Styela clava: one gene and its partner. The protein of the gene in region 2 purifies or fractionates together with the protein of the main gene of each other region. This does not show direct contact. Links are inferred from orthologs where the notes say so. Each region holds a gene or a part of one and is shown on either strand. Other genes may lie near its edges.

Evidence for each region. Proteins that work in one complex are often made in the same cells at the same time.
Region 1: the proteins of uncharacterized protein LOC120333780 (region 2) and UDP-N-acetylglucosamine--peptide N-acetylglucosaminyltransferase 110 kDa subunit-like purify together in Homo sapiens (affinity purification with mass spectrometry; 4 studies listed by BioGRID and IntAct, with this or other methods). This does not show direct contact. The link is inferred for Styela clava from reciprocal best matches to the Homo sapiens genes SETD1A and OGT.

The regions. Positions count from the first base shown.
Region 1 is NC_135258.1:11,146,407-11,154,473, forward strand, and holds the start of UDP-N-acetylglucosamine--peptide N-acetylglucosaminyltransferase 110 kDa subunit-like, read left to right. Parts: upstream 1-2,959; 5' UTR 2,960-3,135; coding exon 3,136-3,217; intron 3,218-3,796; coding exon 3,797-3,947; intron 3,948-4,039; coding exon 4,040-4,159; intron 4,160-4,279; coding exon 4,280-4,403; intron 4,404-4,477; coding exon 4,478-4,546; intron 4,547-4,632; exon of another isoform or gene 4,633-6,435; coding exon of another isoform or gene 6,436-6,537; intron 6,538-6,936; coding exon 6,937-7,053; intron 7,054-7,141; coding exon 7,142-7,221; intron 7,222-7,302; coding exon 7,303-7,493; intron 7,494-7,665; coding exon 7,666-7,811; intron 7,812-8,067. UniProt on the Homo sapiens protein: Catalyzes the transfer of a single N-acetylglucosamine from UDP-GlcNAc to a serine or threonine residue in cytoplasmic and nuclear proteins resulting in their modification with a beta-linked N-acetylglucosamine (O-GlcNAc).
Region 2 is NC_135264.1:11,334,315-11,342,381, forward strand, and holds the start of uncharacterized protein LOC120333780, read left to right. Parts: upstream 1-2,998; 5' UTR 2,999-3,089; coding exon 3,090-3,236; intron 3,237-4,514; coding exon 4,515-4,616; intron 4,617-4,730; coding exon 4,731-4,901; intron 4,902-5,467; coding exon 5,468-5,567; intron 5,568-6,237; coding exon 6,238-6,415; intron 6,416-6,846; coding exon 6,847-6,913; intron 6,914-6,983; coding exon 6,984-8,067. Other genes in the region: voltage-gated purine nucleotide uniporter SLC17A9-like, read right to left, coding at 231-346. UniProt on the Homo sapiens protein: Histone methyltransferase that catalyzes methyl group transfer from S-adenosyl-L-methionine to the epsilon-amino group of 'Lys-4' of histone H3 (H3K4) via a non-processive mechanism.

The sequences.
Region 1 (8,067 bases), on a different chromosome or scaffold from region 2:
TAGAATGAAGGTTTGGCCTATTCTTTTATTCTTTTTCGATCGGTAACAAAAAATTGTGGACAAGTAAGTCGTAAGTATCCCTTGCAAAAATAATACTAAAAAGTATGGTAAAGTGAGTGCAATCAGTAAAAAATGATAATCAGAATGTGTCACGCCTGTAGGATTGGACTTATGAGAGTACTCTACTCGTGATAATATATATATGAGCAGGTGAATATATCATGCATGGAAGTGCGCCTAAAATGAACCCTTTTGAGCGTGCAACCTGGGTTGGAAAATCTCAAGTTTACTTCTAGTCTAGTAAATACATGGATTTAATCAATATTTCTCTTAGTTTATCCTCAGTTCATGACCTATCACAAATGTCTAATAATTTCTAACCAATGTACAAATTCATAAACGTGTAGTCGCGATTGAAAAAGATGGATCATCGATCCATTCAAAACTGGAATATATATTTAAATAAACAAGATATCAATGCTCAATTATATAGATACGAGGGCGAAAACGAAGTAACATCAACTATTTTACAGTACCGGTAGTCTGACTACGAAATCGCTGAAATGCGCTTAGAGAACCACGGCACGGTGGGCAATATTTAATATCGATGATGTCATCGCACACAAAAAACGAATCCCATAGAGCCCACAGAAATTTTCGGAAATAATAAAAGTAATGCCTTTCTAGCGAATAAGACAATCCTTAACCACTGAAAATTTCAGAGCAATTAGTAGTTAATGAGTAAAGTTTTTCTTCTTCCTGAAGTATGCGCACCAAGATGGCGCACAACCTGAACCCGGTGGTGTACACTGTACAGGGTTAGGGTTCAGGTTGTGCGACATCTTGATGCGCATACTTCAGGAGTACCGCTTTTTTATAACGATGAGAGAGGGAAAATACCAACAACATATCACCAAACGAAGTATCAAGCCCTAGCTATTTCCAATTGTATTCTAGCAACATTTACTACAGTATCAACATGGCCATTTCAGAGTAATTGCTATGAAAAGTCAAAATGAAAAGTGCATTGCTAGCGTTGTATCATTTTCACTGAAAATCAATCAAAGACTTGAAATTGAAAGACTGAAGTGCAGTAGCCTACCTTTCAGTACACTATGAAATATGAAGCACGATTGCATCTCGCTGTTTCAGAATTAAAAGTCAAGGCCAATGCCACAAGTTTAGCGTTAAATTGGTGTTTATAGATGAGTTTTGGGGATGTTATTTTGAAATACATACTCAGTTTTGTTTTGTTGCTATTTTAATTCGCGTCCTTACAACTTTAAGGTTTGAAATCTGGCCCGACACTAAAAAAGGCTGAAAACCACTGGCTTAAATACGGAACGACAGCCCATACGATAAGCAAAATGGAACTAGATGCATTGACTTGATGGTAGAGAAAATCGAAACCGATCTTGGGTTACATGAACAACCCCACGACATTGTTCAACAATCTCTTACACACAATGGACCTTTCCCCGAGCATCGACTTCCTGTTTACTTCGTGACATTGGCCAATCAACAAGATGCAAAAAGTGACGTAACAATGCTCCCTTTTTGCATCCGCTCAGACACTTTTCTCACTCAGACAGATTTTCAAGCGCGGTCGTAAACATTACCTCATTATCGCGTTTTTGAACTCTATTCGTTAGTTTTCAGTTGTGTTTCGGAAACTTAAATATAAATAAGATAATTCAATGATCACCCTGTTTTCCCATGAGTTCTAATTAAATTGCAGTAATAAAAAATTAGTGTCGAAATAGCTGTGATAGACTAGGCTAAAATTCTTTACCGGTACTTTTAAAAAACAGAAAGTTGTATGCGATGAATCATAATGATGGTTTGAAACACATACCCCATTTTACAGGCGCCAACTCGCAAAAGCACTCTTAAAATAGCCCCGAAAATTTTGCAATGGCAAAGTATAAGAAGAATTTATTCGGGGGTCAAAGGTCGGGGAAAGGTCCATTATCCCACAAACTCTTCCCTAGTGACCTTAGATTTGTGTTAGGACGGATAGAATGTACCGGATCACCTATGTGATATTGTCGCTCGTACTGGCTTACACATATGTGCGTAATAGAAAATGATAACGTAGATAGCGAGTTTGATAAATTATATCAGTACAACGACTAACATACCGTATCAGTAGCACAAAATCATATCATTATTTGTGCCATACTTCCAATTTGGTGTTACCCATTCTCTCATATAGTTTGAAGAATATGTTTTTACGGTATGTTAGTCGTTGGTTTTTACGACCCATCCATGAAGATAAAAATGTCACAACAATTAATTTAAATTATTGGACATTCATTCTGATTCCAAGTCGGCAATTCTGAGTAATCATAATGAACCACCTTCTTATGAACAAGGCATAGGAATACTCTCGTTCGTCTATTTCCCTGATAAGAGACTGGACCGAAGCGGAAGTTGAAAAATAATGCCGATAAGGCATCTCGTTGTTTCAAAGCTCCCGAAACCAGACAAAGTCAGCGTGTCACGACAAATGACGTCACCCACGTATCATTGCAAGTTAACCATTGGCGTCTCGTGCGCATGAATATTTGGCGCCTCGCGCGCATGAATATAACATCACGCGACAGAGCTGGGTGGAAACTGGAAACACTTCGACGTGACTGTAAATAGTACTGCCCTTTGTTTTTATCAGAAAGGACGATTCACGCGTGTGGGCTCAATAACAACAATGTTTAATTTTGATATTTTCCTCGACTTATCGTAACTTTTACTATTGTGATTAGATTATGATGTATATAGACAAAGTTTAGCGTTAGATTATTTGTCCATATGGTTCTCCTTCATGTCTGTATGTTGTATCGTTGGTTATAAGGTTTTTGCGAGTATGAATAAATTCAAAAAATTTGCGATTTGGCGTTGGGAATTATTTTCAAGTGTTATTGGTGCAAAAACTGATATTTATATTCTGTTCATTTATATAGATTTTCTAATTAAATCAAACTATGAGTGATTTTTGTCTTGCATAGTCTGCAACACAAGATTGTTTGAAGAGTTCACATTCTGACATTGCTTAACCCTGCCAGCCTGTCATAAATTGGCACATTCAGACATTGCTGTCGACTTGAATTTCTCTTTACTACTATAATTCGTGATCCAATGTATTCACCAATGACGAAGGACGACACTAAGAAAATTATGTTAAATAATAATCATCAAGCAGCTGTTCTTGATGCCACGGGTTGGTAAACTTATAAGTTATTTTTTATTAATTGAACAGTTTCATGGGTTTGTTTTTCTGTATTTTGCTTTCCAACTACCAAGTTTCAGGAGTTTTGGTACACTTGAACAATTTCAGAATTTTGTTGTCATAAACTTCAAATAATTGTCTAAACTTTATACTGTTGTACCTTGTACTGTTGTACGATTAGTCATTCCAGTATTTCCATTATAATGTAACCGCGTGTGATATAACGTTACAGATAACTTTTTAGAAAAATATGTTTTTGCAAAAGTTTTGTCTATTCCTGTATACTGATTTCTTGATTTAGTAATTCTGTAATTTGTCGATTACGTATTGGAATTTTTTTGGAGAATGTAGTCTCCAAATAAAATTGCTGCACGAGACGGAGTTTTAAGTCATTCGGTCATAATTTTTCAAAGTTAAAGAGTGCATGGAGTGATGCTTTTACTCGGCAGCTCAATGTAAGCCAATACCTGAATACTGTAAAATGTGGGACCAGAAATAAGATTCTTTGTTCATTCATTTTTTTTATTAATACTCATCTGGGTTTCCTTAACATGGTTTCCCTATTTTAAGGTCTTGCTGAACTTGCACATCGTGAATATCAAGCAGGCGATTATGACAATGCAGAAAGGCATTGTATGCATCTTTGGCAGCAAGATCCAGATAATACTGGCGTTCTGTTACTTCTCAGTTCTATTCATTTTCAGTGTCGGAGACTTGACAAGTATAATCCAGTTCTTACAATTTTATTCTGTTATTGTTTTAAATGTACTCCTTCAAGTAAGAATGGTGACATAACAAACCAATTTTTTTCAGGTCTGCATATTTTTCAAAACATGCAATTAAAACAAACCCGATGCTTGCTGAAGCTTATTCTAATCTTGGGAATGTTTTCAAGGAAAGAGGCCAATTGCAAGAGGCCTTAGAACATTATAGGTATGATATTTGAGAAAATAACAATTTATCAAACGGTGTTTGTTTAATATATGGAATTGAACGGTGTTTGTTTAATATATGGAATTGGACATGTAATATTTGTTTTCTATTTGAATTTAGGCATGCTGTACGCTTGAAACCAGATTTCATTGATGGTTATATCAACTTAGCAGCTGCTTTGGTTACTGCTGGAGACTTGGAAGGCGCAGTTCAGGCTTATTTTTCAGCTCTACAAATAAATCCGGTAAATTGCATTCCGCAGATCATATTTTCATACTTTCCCCTTCAATAATAATAATCAACTTCAACTCATTTCAGGATCTCTATTGTGTGAGGAGTGATCTTGGTAATTTGTTGAAAGCTCTTGGACGTTTAGAAGAGGCAAAGGTATTTGCAGCATTAAATTGGCATGCTTTTTACATTCAGCAAATGCGCATTTGCGGTTCTTGGCATATTGCTATCTACACCTGAATCCTGAATCATACATGCTGGACTCGAATACTTTTGCAATTTATCGTTTCGATGATGATTTGGTCTTAACTAGTTATTTCGCTATGCATGCTTCAGGATTCAGTTTGTGTCGATAGCAACCGAGAAACGCTCGAGCACATGAAAAGTTGAATCACTTCCATGGCACATCGACACATTTCCGAAATCCAAATACTGTTTCAGACATCAAATAGAATTATTTTACATTAGCACAAATATGATTTTTTTGCACATGCTTGCTTTTTTATTAAGTCTATGTGTAAGAGTTCTAGAATAATCGACTGTGCACCCCATTATTGGGTTCGACCTGGCTCTGCGCCACCTGTTTTCTTGAAAATATTTCTGCTGTAATTCAGCTCTATATTTTAATAGAAGTTGAACTAGACAGGAAAAATATAATAATTTTTGTAATCAATCAAGCCATTATTTTCAAATAAGTCATAGCCCTCTGCCATTCAATTCTGAAACCAAGTAATTCAACAAGAAAGTCATGTTTGTGCTCTTGTTATTTCATAGTATGTTTAGCCTTGCTTCGAAATATTTTGCTCCCTCTGATGTTCACAATGGTCAGTGTTGTTTTCCATCCGTGCTACATGTTATAGACAGGTATAGCAGCAGCAGATTCATTTCTCTTCATCTCATAAAACAACACTGAAGATTGTGAACATAGCAGTGTACTGAAATGTGCAATTTTCAAATCTATTTTTAACGACTTTTCAAAAAGTGACACTGTATTATTTATTTTTTGTTTAAAATTGGATTACTCAGCTCTGTTGAGGATGAGGTAATTTTTGTATTCCTATAAACCGGAGCGAAATATTATTTGGGCATGGCTTTTGCACTTAGTCGGCGAATTCGGCATTGAAATGAAGGTACATTGACCCACATGGCTGTCAGTGGACATATTTTGCTACCCATTTGAAATGTATTTCAACTACTCAATATCCAATCCATCCCGATATCTTACACTGACAGTCAAGCGCTCGTGGGTTGTAAGCTGACGCAGCAGTTGTTATTGGAAAGACATCTTCCTGGGATTAACTTGTGCATTTGGACATGTCTGTATCTTGAAAACTTGAAAACCCCAGATAGTTTTTTTTCCAGTAAATGCAACTCTCAGCTGTCACGTTCATTTGCTAAATTGCGTCTTTATAAATATATTCTGATCTTAGAATTTGGTGTTTGAAACAAAATTCTTGGATCAGTAGCGGAATTGTATCTCAAATTATTTTATCAATTGGCTCGAAACTAAATTCTATGTGCAATTTGGTATTATTAACATGATGTGCCATGGTAAGATATTGTATGTGCTCATTTTTTAATTAAAAAGCTTCTCTAGAAGGACAAAATCTACCTGATACAGGATGGTTACTCAGCATATATTTACATCTGTGGTATGAATTAAAGTTAGCAATGGTAAGGCATATGCCAAGTATTGCATATTTTAATTAAAACCTCAAACTTTGTTTGGCTTTAGTTTCAAAAGTAATTGTTTCTCTCTAATCTGACGTTAATGTTGTTTTTCTTCAAATTTGACATTATTGTTACCAAAGGATTCTAGTTCAAATTCTTAGACATATCTAAAAACAAGAATAAATAAAAAAATGTTTTTTGTCAATGACATAATTACAATTACTGATCAAATGTAACTTCCAAGTACCAGTATTTATTTAAGACATCTTACAATATTTTAATCTTGTTATTTTATTCTTTATCTCTCTGTCATATTTATCAAGTCAATTTAAGAAAGATTGCACAGAGCTCGTCAGCATTCAACAGAGCAGGACATGAATATCACCATGCCAGATGACTTCTTCGTATCTCTAATAAATATCTCAGGCACCCAAGGCTACTTATTGTTATGTAAGCGCCGACAAAATGCGGCAACGGTATGGTATATACCAAGTTGGTCCAAGTATATAAATATGGATCTTTTATTTTTATATGTATTGTATTACTGTGCATTGTCTTGTATTTTTTGCTATGTGCGCCGCGCTTTGCGAATTCTATGTTCAAATCTTGCTGCATCATTTTCCACTCACAATTGCTTGACTTTAAATTTCTGCCAAAATTTTTGGTAGATCTATTTGACACAACTTGCAAAAAGTATTCTTGCAAATGTGAGACTCTATGCGGATGAAGCGAAGTAGAAGCTAATGTAACCATTTATTTCATCAGAGAAAATTCGGCATCTTTGGCTTCATTTCCGGATTCTGCTGCTGCTGCTCTGTGCGATATCAAAACTCCTTTTTTTCTTATCCTAATTTGTCTTTTATTCTCGCGTTTAGACATGCTATCTGAAAGCTATAGAAACACAACCAAATTTCGCAGTTGCTTGGAGCAACCTTGGCTGCGTCTTCAACAGTCAAGGAGAAATATGGCTTGCAATTCATCATTTTGAAAAGGTATTTTTCTTGTTTTTGTATATTTATGTATAAACATTATTTTATTGTACAATGGGGTATTGATTCAGTTTTTTATCATGGATTTCAGGCTGTGACGTTGGATCCAAACTTTCTTGATGCATATATCAACTTAGGAAATGTACTGAAAGAGGCAAGAATCTTTGATAGGTAATCATTGTAACATTCTATTTATTACTTAAATTAAAATCTATATTCCTTAAATTTTTTCATGTACAATTTTCATTGTAGAGCTGTTGCTGCTTATCTGCGTGCATTGAATCTATCACCAAACCATGCAGTTGTTCATGGAAATCTTGCGTGTGTGTATTATGAACAAGGGCTGATCGATCTAGCGATTGACACATACAGAAGAGCGATTGAACTTCAACCGCACTTTCCTGATGCATACTGCAATTTGGCCAACGCCCTCAAAGAAAAAGGTAAAATTGCTATTCCGGTTAAATGTATTGTGTTATATCAGACTTTTGAAGGCACGAGAGTATGTAGAAAATGTTCAGACTAGCTTTTTGTCCACTCTTTTCGATTCTGATCATCTGTCTCTCAACTCTGAATTTTTTTTACCCTGATATCTGTTACAAAATGCACTTTCAGGTAAAGTTGAAGATGCTGAAGAATGTTATAATAAAGCACTGAGACTGTGTCCAACACATGCAGATTCACTTAACAACTTGGCAAATATAAAACGAGAACAAGGACTGATAGAGGAGGCCATTGCACTGTATTGTAAAGCATTGGAGGTGATTACTGAATTTTTTTTTTGATCAATCTCTTAACACTTTCGATGCCAAGATCAGTTTTTTCAATTTTACCGTTCCGTGCCAAGGTGAAAACGAGAGAGTTCTCTCCTATTCATTCTCTCTCGTATTTAGTTTTTGATTCATCGGGAAAGGGGCGAACCCAGCGGTGTCATCAGTTATCGTTCATTCCGACACTTCAGTCGTAGGTGAAAGAACTCACCTACACACGCGTATCTTGTCGGAATTGCTCTCTCAT
Region 2 (8,067 bases):
GATAAATGACCTCTTAATTTGCTCATCAAATAATACAAGTATAAGTTTTATTCAGATTCCAAGGCAAGCATAACATGGCACTGTACGGTACTGCTGTAGCAAGTAAACAATGAAAAATTGATAACCACTAATACAAGAACAGAAAAATATAATTATGGAATTGCTGTCAATCAGCAGTTAATCTGAAATCTCCGAAAATTTATTGAAAAAACAAAAGTTCGTTAACTAACTTGCTCCAATTTGATCCTTTTTGTTTTTTCACGATTCTGTCTATTCCTCCTGCATCTCGCGGAGAATGCAATCTTAATGACTTTGAATCCAAGTTTATGACATGATTTCCTACCATACCGGTAATACTGCAGTGCCGCGATGATCAATAACTATTGGTAATGACAACTTCTGATTCCGTGTTGTTATAGCTTTTTATCTATATACACAACTGCAAATTTCGGTGGCGCTTTCACCCTTCTCAGCGAACTATAAATTAGAAATATATGTTACCGAATATAGACGTGGCGTAAACAAGACACGGACGACTTTCTTCTTTATCCGGGTTAGGTTTACTTCGTAGTGGAGAAAATCAACAAATGAGCAACCAAAACTTCCATTGTATGTACGATTTTCAATACAAATATATAATACCATAATAATACATCAATCGATCAATTTTATTCCACATCTATCATTTCTTTGTTTTTGTCTATATTAAGCCAAATATGTAGAAATATGATAAAAGCATCAACGCGATTTTGCCTCCGAATGTTCTACCATTCGTGATATTATGTGACTGAATATACTGTATATGGCAACGCGATTTTGCCTCCGAATGTTCTACCATTCGTGATATTATGTGACTGAATATACTGTATATGGCAATTAGTATGTTTGAATTTCACAATCAGCATAAGAGGCGATGAAATTCCAACACCATCTGACAACAAGTGTCCAAAAGTATTCAGTGTCCAAAAAAATCACACATCAATACAGTTTGAATGTACCGGACATAGATCACAGTACACAATCACAACCAAGCTTTTTAGTCAGGCACTGCGAAGGCAAACAAACATTTTAGAAATCTTGGTTACGATATTTCCGCATAGCACATTTGACGTATGCCGCTAAGCCGTAATTAAACGTATTTATTTCACCTCCAAGCGAAAATAAAATTGCAGTAGCTACCATTTTTACAACCCTACAAGTTGTTTGAAAAAATAACAACATCGTCATTTTCATTTTTCAAACATGGAGAACAATCTGGGCTGATAGTTTATAGTAGTGGTATCGTGATGAAAGGTCGTTATTTGCCACATAATTAATTTTCGTTAGGTTCCCTCTTTTTGGATCTATCGGTCTATCTATCGGCCTATCTCAATCAGATATAATAGAATTTTTTAATTTTATTCCTATCCTACTAAATTTCATTCTCGTTCACGTCACAAGATGGTGGCAGTGAGCTAATGGCGGCTCGGTGAAAACTATGGCTTTGTTGATGGCTGTACCACTTGTTCTGAAGATAAAAATGGCCAAGGTAAGGTAAGTAATATCCTCCAGTTCCTAGTGTGAGTCAAAGAGGCATGAGTAGATTGGCTCTGAGACAGGCCCAGGCTATAAGTTTGTGGCAAAACCGCCGTTGCAGCGGTAAAATGTAGGCGGCTTTTTGTCTCAAAATTCTAGGCTGCGCTTCATCGAGTTGTACAAAGACAAGGTATGACACTGTGACTCTTTGATATTGCAATGGACCAGAAAATAGACTGGTGCCACTGAATAATGTAGATTAGTTTTGTGGTTACAAATTCATCTATTCTTCAGTTCTTCTAGCTCTGTAGTTACTAATTAATTTATAGGATATGATTTACATATTTATTATTTCTGTATTTCTGATATACCTGTATTTATTATACCATCAGGACGAAATTTTGGTCAGTTACACATCAACTTTTGTTGAAAATAGTTTAATTAACCTTACCAAACAGCCAAAGTATCTGATCCATTTGCTCATATCAGTATATTGTACCAAACGCACTTTCTCACCAGTGTGATTGTTTTGTTTGTTTTGATTCTTTAGTTCTGAATTTAAATCTTTAGTGTTAACAACACTAATTTTTCTCTAAGGAAACTTGTTCGAAGCAAGGTCACACGCATTAACTCAGACGCGGTCGACAACTAAAATATCAAGAGCTAGCTACAGTAGGGCACAGTTGTCTGATTCCAGGATTCAAGGATGTGCCGGCATTGAGTTCAATGCAACAAACACTTATTTTGTCTCTGAAACAAGGGCATATGACACGACAGCAGATGCGTCATGCTTGTCTCAATGGTAATCTGAAATAATTGTGACGTGCGTTGGCCGTCATGTGACCAAAATTGCATTTTTTTACTAAAACTTCGTGAATGCTACGAAAAAAAATCTTTTTCTTTGGTAAATCAATTTTTTTTATTTTCCAAGGAATCCATAGTGGCGTTTTTAAATTGCGCTATTAATTTGTTGACAGGGCTGATTTGCAGATTTTTGCCAGTATGGAGGTCCAGACTATCTCGTAAAACAGGGGTTTGCAGTCCCTGTTTTAATTATTTTTAGAGTGAAAATGACTATTCTACTCAATTCAAGAGTCTTGCTGCACACTAACACAAATGTACGAGGTTAAACTTCTTCAGACAAGCATTTTACAACTGTGAAAAGAAACGCAATTGCATGCACATAAAGAAGAAGTCTGACCTCGGTCAGACGAAACCTTACAGAAATACATTTGTGTTAGTGTGCAGCAAGACTCTTGAATTGAATAGAATAGTCATTTTCACTCTTGCTATAGCGTTATACGCATCTGGGTCCACCTGCGCAAAGGCATAGAGCAAGGAAAGGTAGTTAGTTTCACGTAACTCCAACTGTTAGTACTGTTATAATTGATGTCTTCTAATGTGGGGCTACAGAGCTATGGAGAGTATAAAGATTTATAGTGCAGACTTGCACGTTGCTTGTTAACAATTCAACACTGATTTTTTATATTTCTTTTGTTAAAGTCAATAATTATCTATAGTGTAGAAAAATGGATTCACCAGTCTATCAAGTCCTTTGATAAAGGATTAATATTATGTCTGATGTGAAGAAAGAAAACCATATCCAAGGAGTAGGTGCTGAACAAATTAAGAAAAAAGATTATAAATTATTGGTCGACCCTCAAATAAGAAGAGGTGAAGAAAAACTCTTTAGATATGAGGGAGTTGCTTATAATACAGAAGTGAGTGTTTCAATCAGTAATTTTATTCATGACACTATATTTATTACTGATTTTATTTATTTATATTGAACTGAATTTATTCTGGCTTGGTCTATTTTCAGTATTTGGATTTTTTCAGATGGGTAGCATGTATACTACAGCAGGGCACAGTTCCCTGATTCCTGACATTTGGTTCAATAATACAAACACCATATTTGTCACTGAAATGACGGTACCTGGCATGCCGGCACATGCGCCACATGCACACCATGCTATTCTTAGAATCAGAGAACTGTGCTGTACTGCACCAAAACTAAATCTATGTATGGTTTCAGTAGCTCGTGTCATTTCAGTGGCTGCCTTGCAAGTACGCTTGCTGATGAAAATCTTCTTCACCTATGCAAAATTACCACTCTGATTTGAGCAAAATCTATTAATAATAATAAAATGCTTCTGCTGTTGATAGTGATATCGTTGATTCTTAGATGAAGTTATATCTTGATTGTACATAAACAAACAAAAATTCTGTTTGCATAACTTGCAATCCAATGTTATGCTGGCAGCTGGAAGTATATATATATAAATATTTATGGACTATATCATATGCATGACATGTGTTTCTATCGCAGATGAACATGTATGGATTTGTTGATAATAATGATGCTTATTAGCAGCTGGATAATGACCCTCTTTGAATAATTTCTAGTCATTATCTTGTGTATTGCATATTTAAATGTGATTATCTGTGAGTACTGCAATTATGCGCTACAGCCTACGAATATAATTTGCGTATTAGATATTCTTATTAACATGACTGCAATACTCAAATATATGAAGTCTAATGTCCAATTTATCCACCACAATGGCAGTAATTTTTTTTTTAAATGTTAAAAGAATCATATTAAATATTATATGAAGATGTAATCGTGAATTTGAAAAATAAAAAAATTGGGCCTAATAATAAGTGATAAAAATAAGTGATTTTTCGTAATTCCTAACAATCCTATATTTTGTTAATTTCTATCTATCTGTACTGTTATATATACTTGTAAGGATTGATAGTTTCAACATCATTATTGAATATGGGAGACTGTTTTTGTTACTAAAACCACTAGTTTATGGAGTGGTTTGAAGGTTGTTTTTTCATGTACTGTGCATTTTACCCACATATTTTAATAATATCGGTAACTAGATAAGTTAATGGGATTTTAATTCTTCCTAAAAAGGGGTGTTTTGTAGGTGTGAAACCATCTTTATTGAAAGATCTTTTTTTTAAATTTTATTTTTTTTTTCACTTAGAACCATGGACAGGGTGTTGTTGTGTTACGAGATCCACGACCCAGGATGAATCGATTATGGTCAAGAAGAGAGCGATGTGAGTTACCTGTTCCACGATATAAGGTGATTACTGATTGTAATAATAATTGTAGCCATTTGTTGTCCACATTTGAATTGCTTATGGCTTATGATAAAACAATGTAAAACTATTTATAACGATTTACAACATTTTGGCAGGTTGACGAGTGGTACATTGGCGCTGTTCCTCCTCGTGAGGTCACTTTTTCTCGTCTTAATGATAACATCACAAAACAATTCATGGAAAAGATGTGCATCAAGTTTGGAAAACTGGAACGCGTGAGGGTTTACCATCACCCAAAGACACAAAAGCACATGGGTTTATCTAAGGTGTGTTACTGATTTTATACACTTGCAATCTTTGCAAGATATGTTCAACTATGATGGTGTAACTGAACTGTTATTTAAATAGACTATTATTCTGTAACAATGAAAAATGCTTAATAGGCTTAAACTTGATATGGTAACTGTACTGCTTTCGCATCTAACAATGTTGTCACTTAATCTCGTGTATAGTCCATCTGGTTTGGTACAGTCTACCTAACTGATTAATGGATGACCAGTCTTAAACTAATATTTCTTTCCAACCTAAAGATGCTAACATAGTTATATCAATATTCAAACTACATGAATGAACATCGTATTTAATTTAAATTATATTTCCTGAAAAAAATATAGGGTGTCCATGAAGTCTTAGAAATTTTTTAAAATTGCATAGGGAATTTATGGATATCATGGGCCGTATTGTTTTGGCCCTCACAGATGTATTGAATGAAGTAAAAATACCTGATTAAAACATGGTTAATAAGATATATTGAGAACTGACTTAATAACAAAAGCAAAACTGTAAAGGGGTTTATGAGCATCCTGTTTAATCTCGTTGTTCACTTTCACAGGTTGTGTTTTCATCGATCAAGTCCGCATCTGAATGTGTGAAGAAACTCCACCAGACTTCAGTCATGGGAAATGTGATTCATGCACAAATAGACTGTAAAGGTTGGTTGAGTGAATCCTATTCACTAATCATTCTAACCCTGGCGCTGCTCATATGTAGTTGTCTGTTTCACTTAAGGCGCTCGTACTTAATCTTTGTTGTTTATCTTATACGAATAAGAGAATGTCTATATGTAGTAGGCTATATGTTATTTAATTACTTTCAAAATAAAGTTTGGATTGAATAATCTTCAATGTATTTAGGATAAAATGTTTTTGCTGCACTTTTACAAATTTTTAGGCAAGATTGAATACTTGCAAATTTAACTAGAGCTGTAAAGTGTGGAAGAAATTTCCACCAACGACTTCCAACGTCTGGATGAAAACAGGTTTAAGAAAATTTTGACCTAAGTACGAGAAAACCAAATGACTATAAAAATTATCCAATCCTACTGTATGGTTTATGAGTATTCTTAGTTGATTTAAATATTAGATATTTAGATATTAGGTATATTAAATATTTAGTTTTTGTCAAAAAATTACCCTCATTACAGTCTTGAAATTCTAACTTGATTTTGAAGATCTCAAATTTGTTTTTGGCTCATATGGTTGAATTTGGTGGTTTCATAATACGACTCCAACTCCTTCCGTATTCCTAATTCCTATTCCAAACAAATTATTTTTGTCACCCAATTCAGGTTAGTTTTACTATTTTCTTGTATCTCATACACAGGTGAAATTCTGAACAAGCTCTTCCAACGGATAGTGAGAGGTGAGATGATGGCAGAAACAATACCCGATGTAATTCGACATACGCAGGATGGCATTACTATGTCAATTAAATATAAAGAACAACATCATCATCATCACGGTAAAAAAGAAAGGAGAAAATCATCGCAAGATGATCCCAGGTTTGTTTATGTTTGGTGCGAGGAAAAAGTTTTTACTCGGATTTAATTACTTTTCATGGTTTGTTCCGAATGAGGCTCTGCACAGGAAGACCCTTGGACGTAGGTAGTTATTTGACTGCTTGGTTATCCTTGAAATTTATTTATTTTTTGAAAAAAAAAATATTGCATCTAATATGAAATTTGCATGTTACAGTGTGTGTCTGAATACATGTTATTTTGGAACACAAATTGCTTAAAATGACAAAATTTGAATAAAAAGTCAGAACTTGCTATATTGAATAATACCAATCTTTAATGTTTTTTGAATATTATTATTCAAGTTAGAGATCTTCATTCTGGTTCCTAGAGGCCAGGTCAACAGTAAACAGTTTTTGATTCTATGTTTGGTTGTAGAATGCTTATAATTAATCTTTATTTTCAAATTTTTTTAGAAAACTAAGAAGATCCGTAGATGAGAAAATCAAACCTAATTCTCACAGATCGTCAGATGACATCGATGTTCGTATTTTACAATGAAATATGAAATTAAATTTTCTAGCAATTCTCTCATTATTTGTTGTTTTTTCAGGTTTCAGAACACAGTAAAGACCATACTGATCAAATGGAATATAACACTCAAAAATCTTCTCAACTTACTCACAAACAACTTGAGAAGAAATCAAGTGTGGACACTCCTGTGCAGAGAAAAGAGAGCAGTGAACATACTGATCATGAGACTGAACATACCACTGATAGCGAAGAAGTAAAATCGGGAGGACAGCGTGTTTGGTCGTCAGATCTTGAATCTCGTATAAGCTCTTTACTTTACGAACAAACAAAAAAATACAATCTTGATGAAGTGCCGCCGAATAATTCCACCAAGCCTTCAAAGTCCAAAGACGATGACCAATCTTCCCACTCGTCGAGGAGGAAAGACAAAAAATTGTCGAAAAAATCAAAACGGAGTAAAAAACACTCAATTGATTCATATGATTCAAATACAATGGACTCTCCTCATCACGCCCCTTTAGAACGAGCACGATCGTCTGAGAGATCTAGCACTAAGCGAGAGAAAAACAGAAAAAATTCAGTTCCGAATTCTCCTTTACCCAACACATTTTCGAGACACTCTCCTCCGCCTAGAGACTTCGTGTCACCTCCGAGAGACTTTGATCAAGGTTCCGGGACCAGTAGGGAACTGCCTTACCCACATCACGATCGAGATATTATATCTCATGATAGACGCGATTCTAGATCGAGAAGTCCTGGACGAAATACACAATTTTTTAACCCCCCACCTCCTCACAGGTTTTATGACGAAAGGGATAGATTTACTCCTCCTTTATATCATAACCGACATCCTGTCAGTCCTCGGCATTCGCCTAGGTTCGGTCAAGATCACAGGATTCCTGATAGAGAACGGTTTGACCGTGATTTTGAACGTTTCGAAATGTTTCGAGGGGAAGATAGAGACTTTCATAGACGGGATGATTTTCCGTACAGAAGACGTGATATGTCTCCCCCACCTAGGGGAATGCCGAGCCCTCCGAGACGACATCGAGGGCATTCCCCTGGGGCTCGGCATTCCCCTGGTAGGTGGTTACCCCCTGATCGATTTTCTAATCATATACCACCTCATCGTCGGCATTCACCCCCGCCACACAGAGACTTTT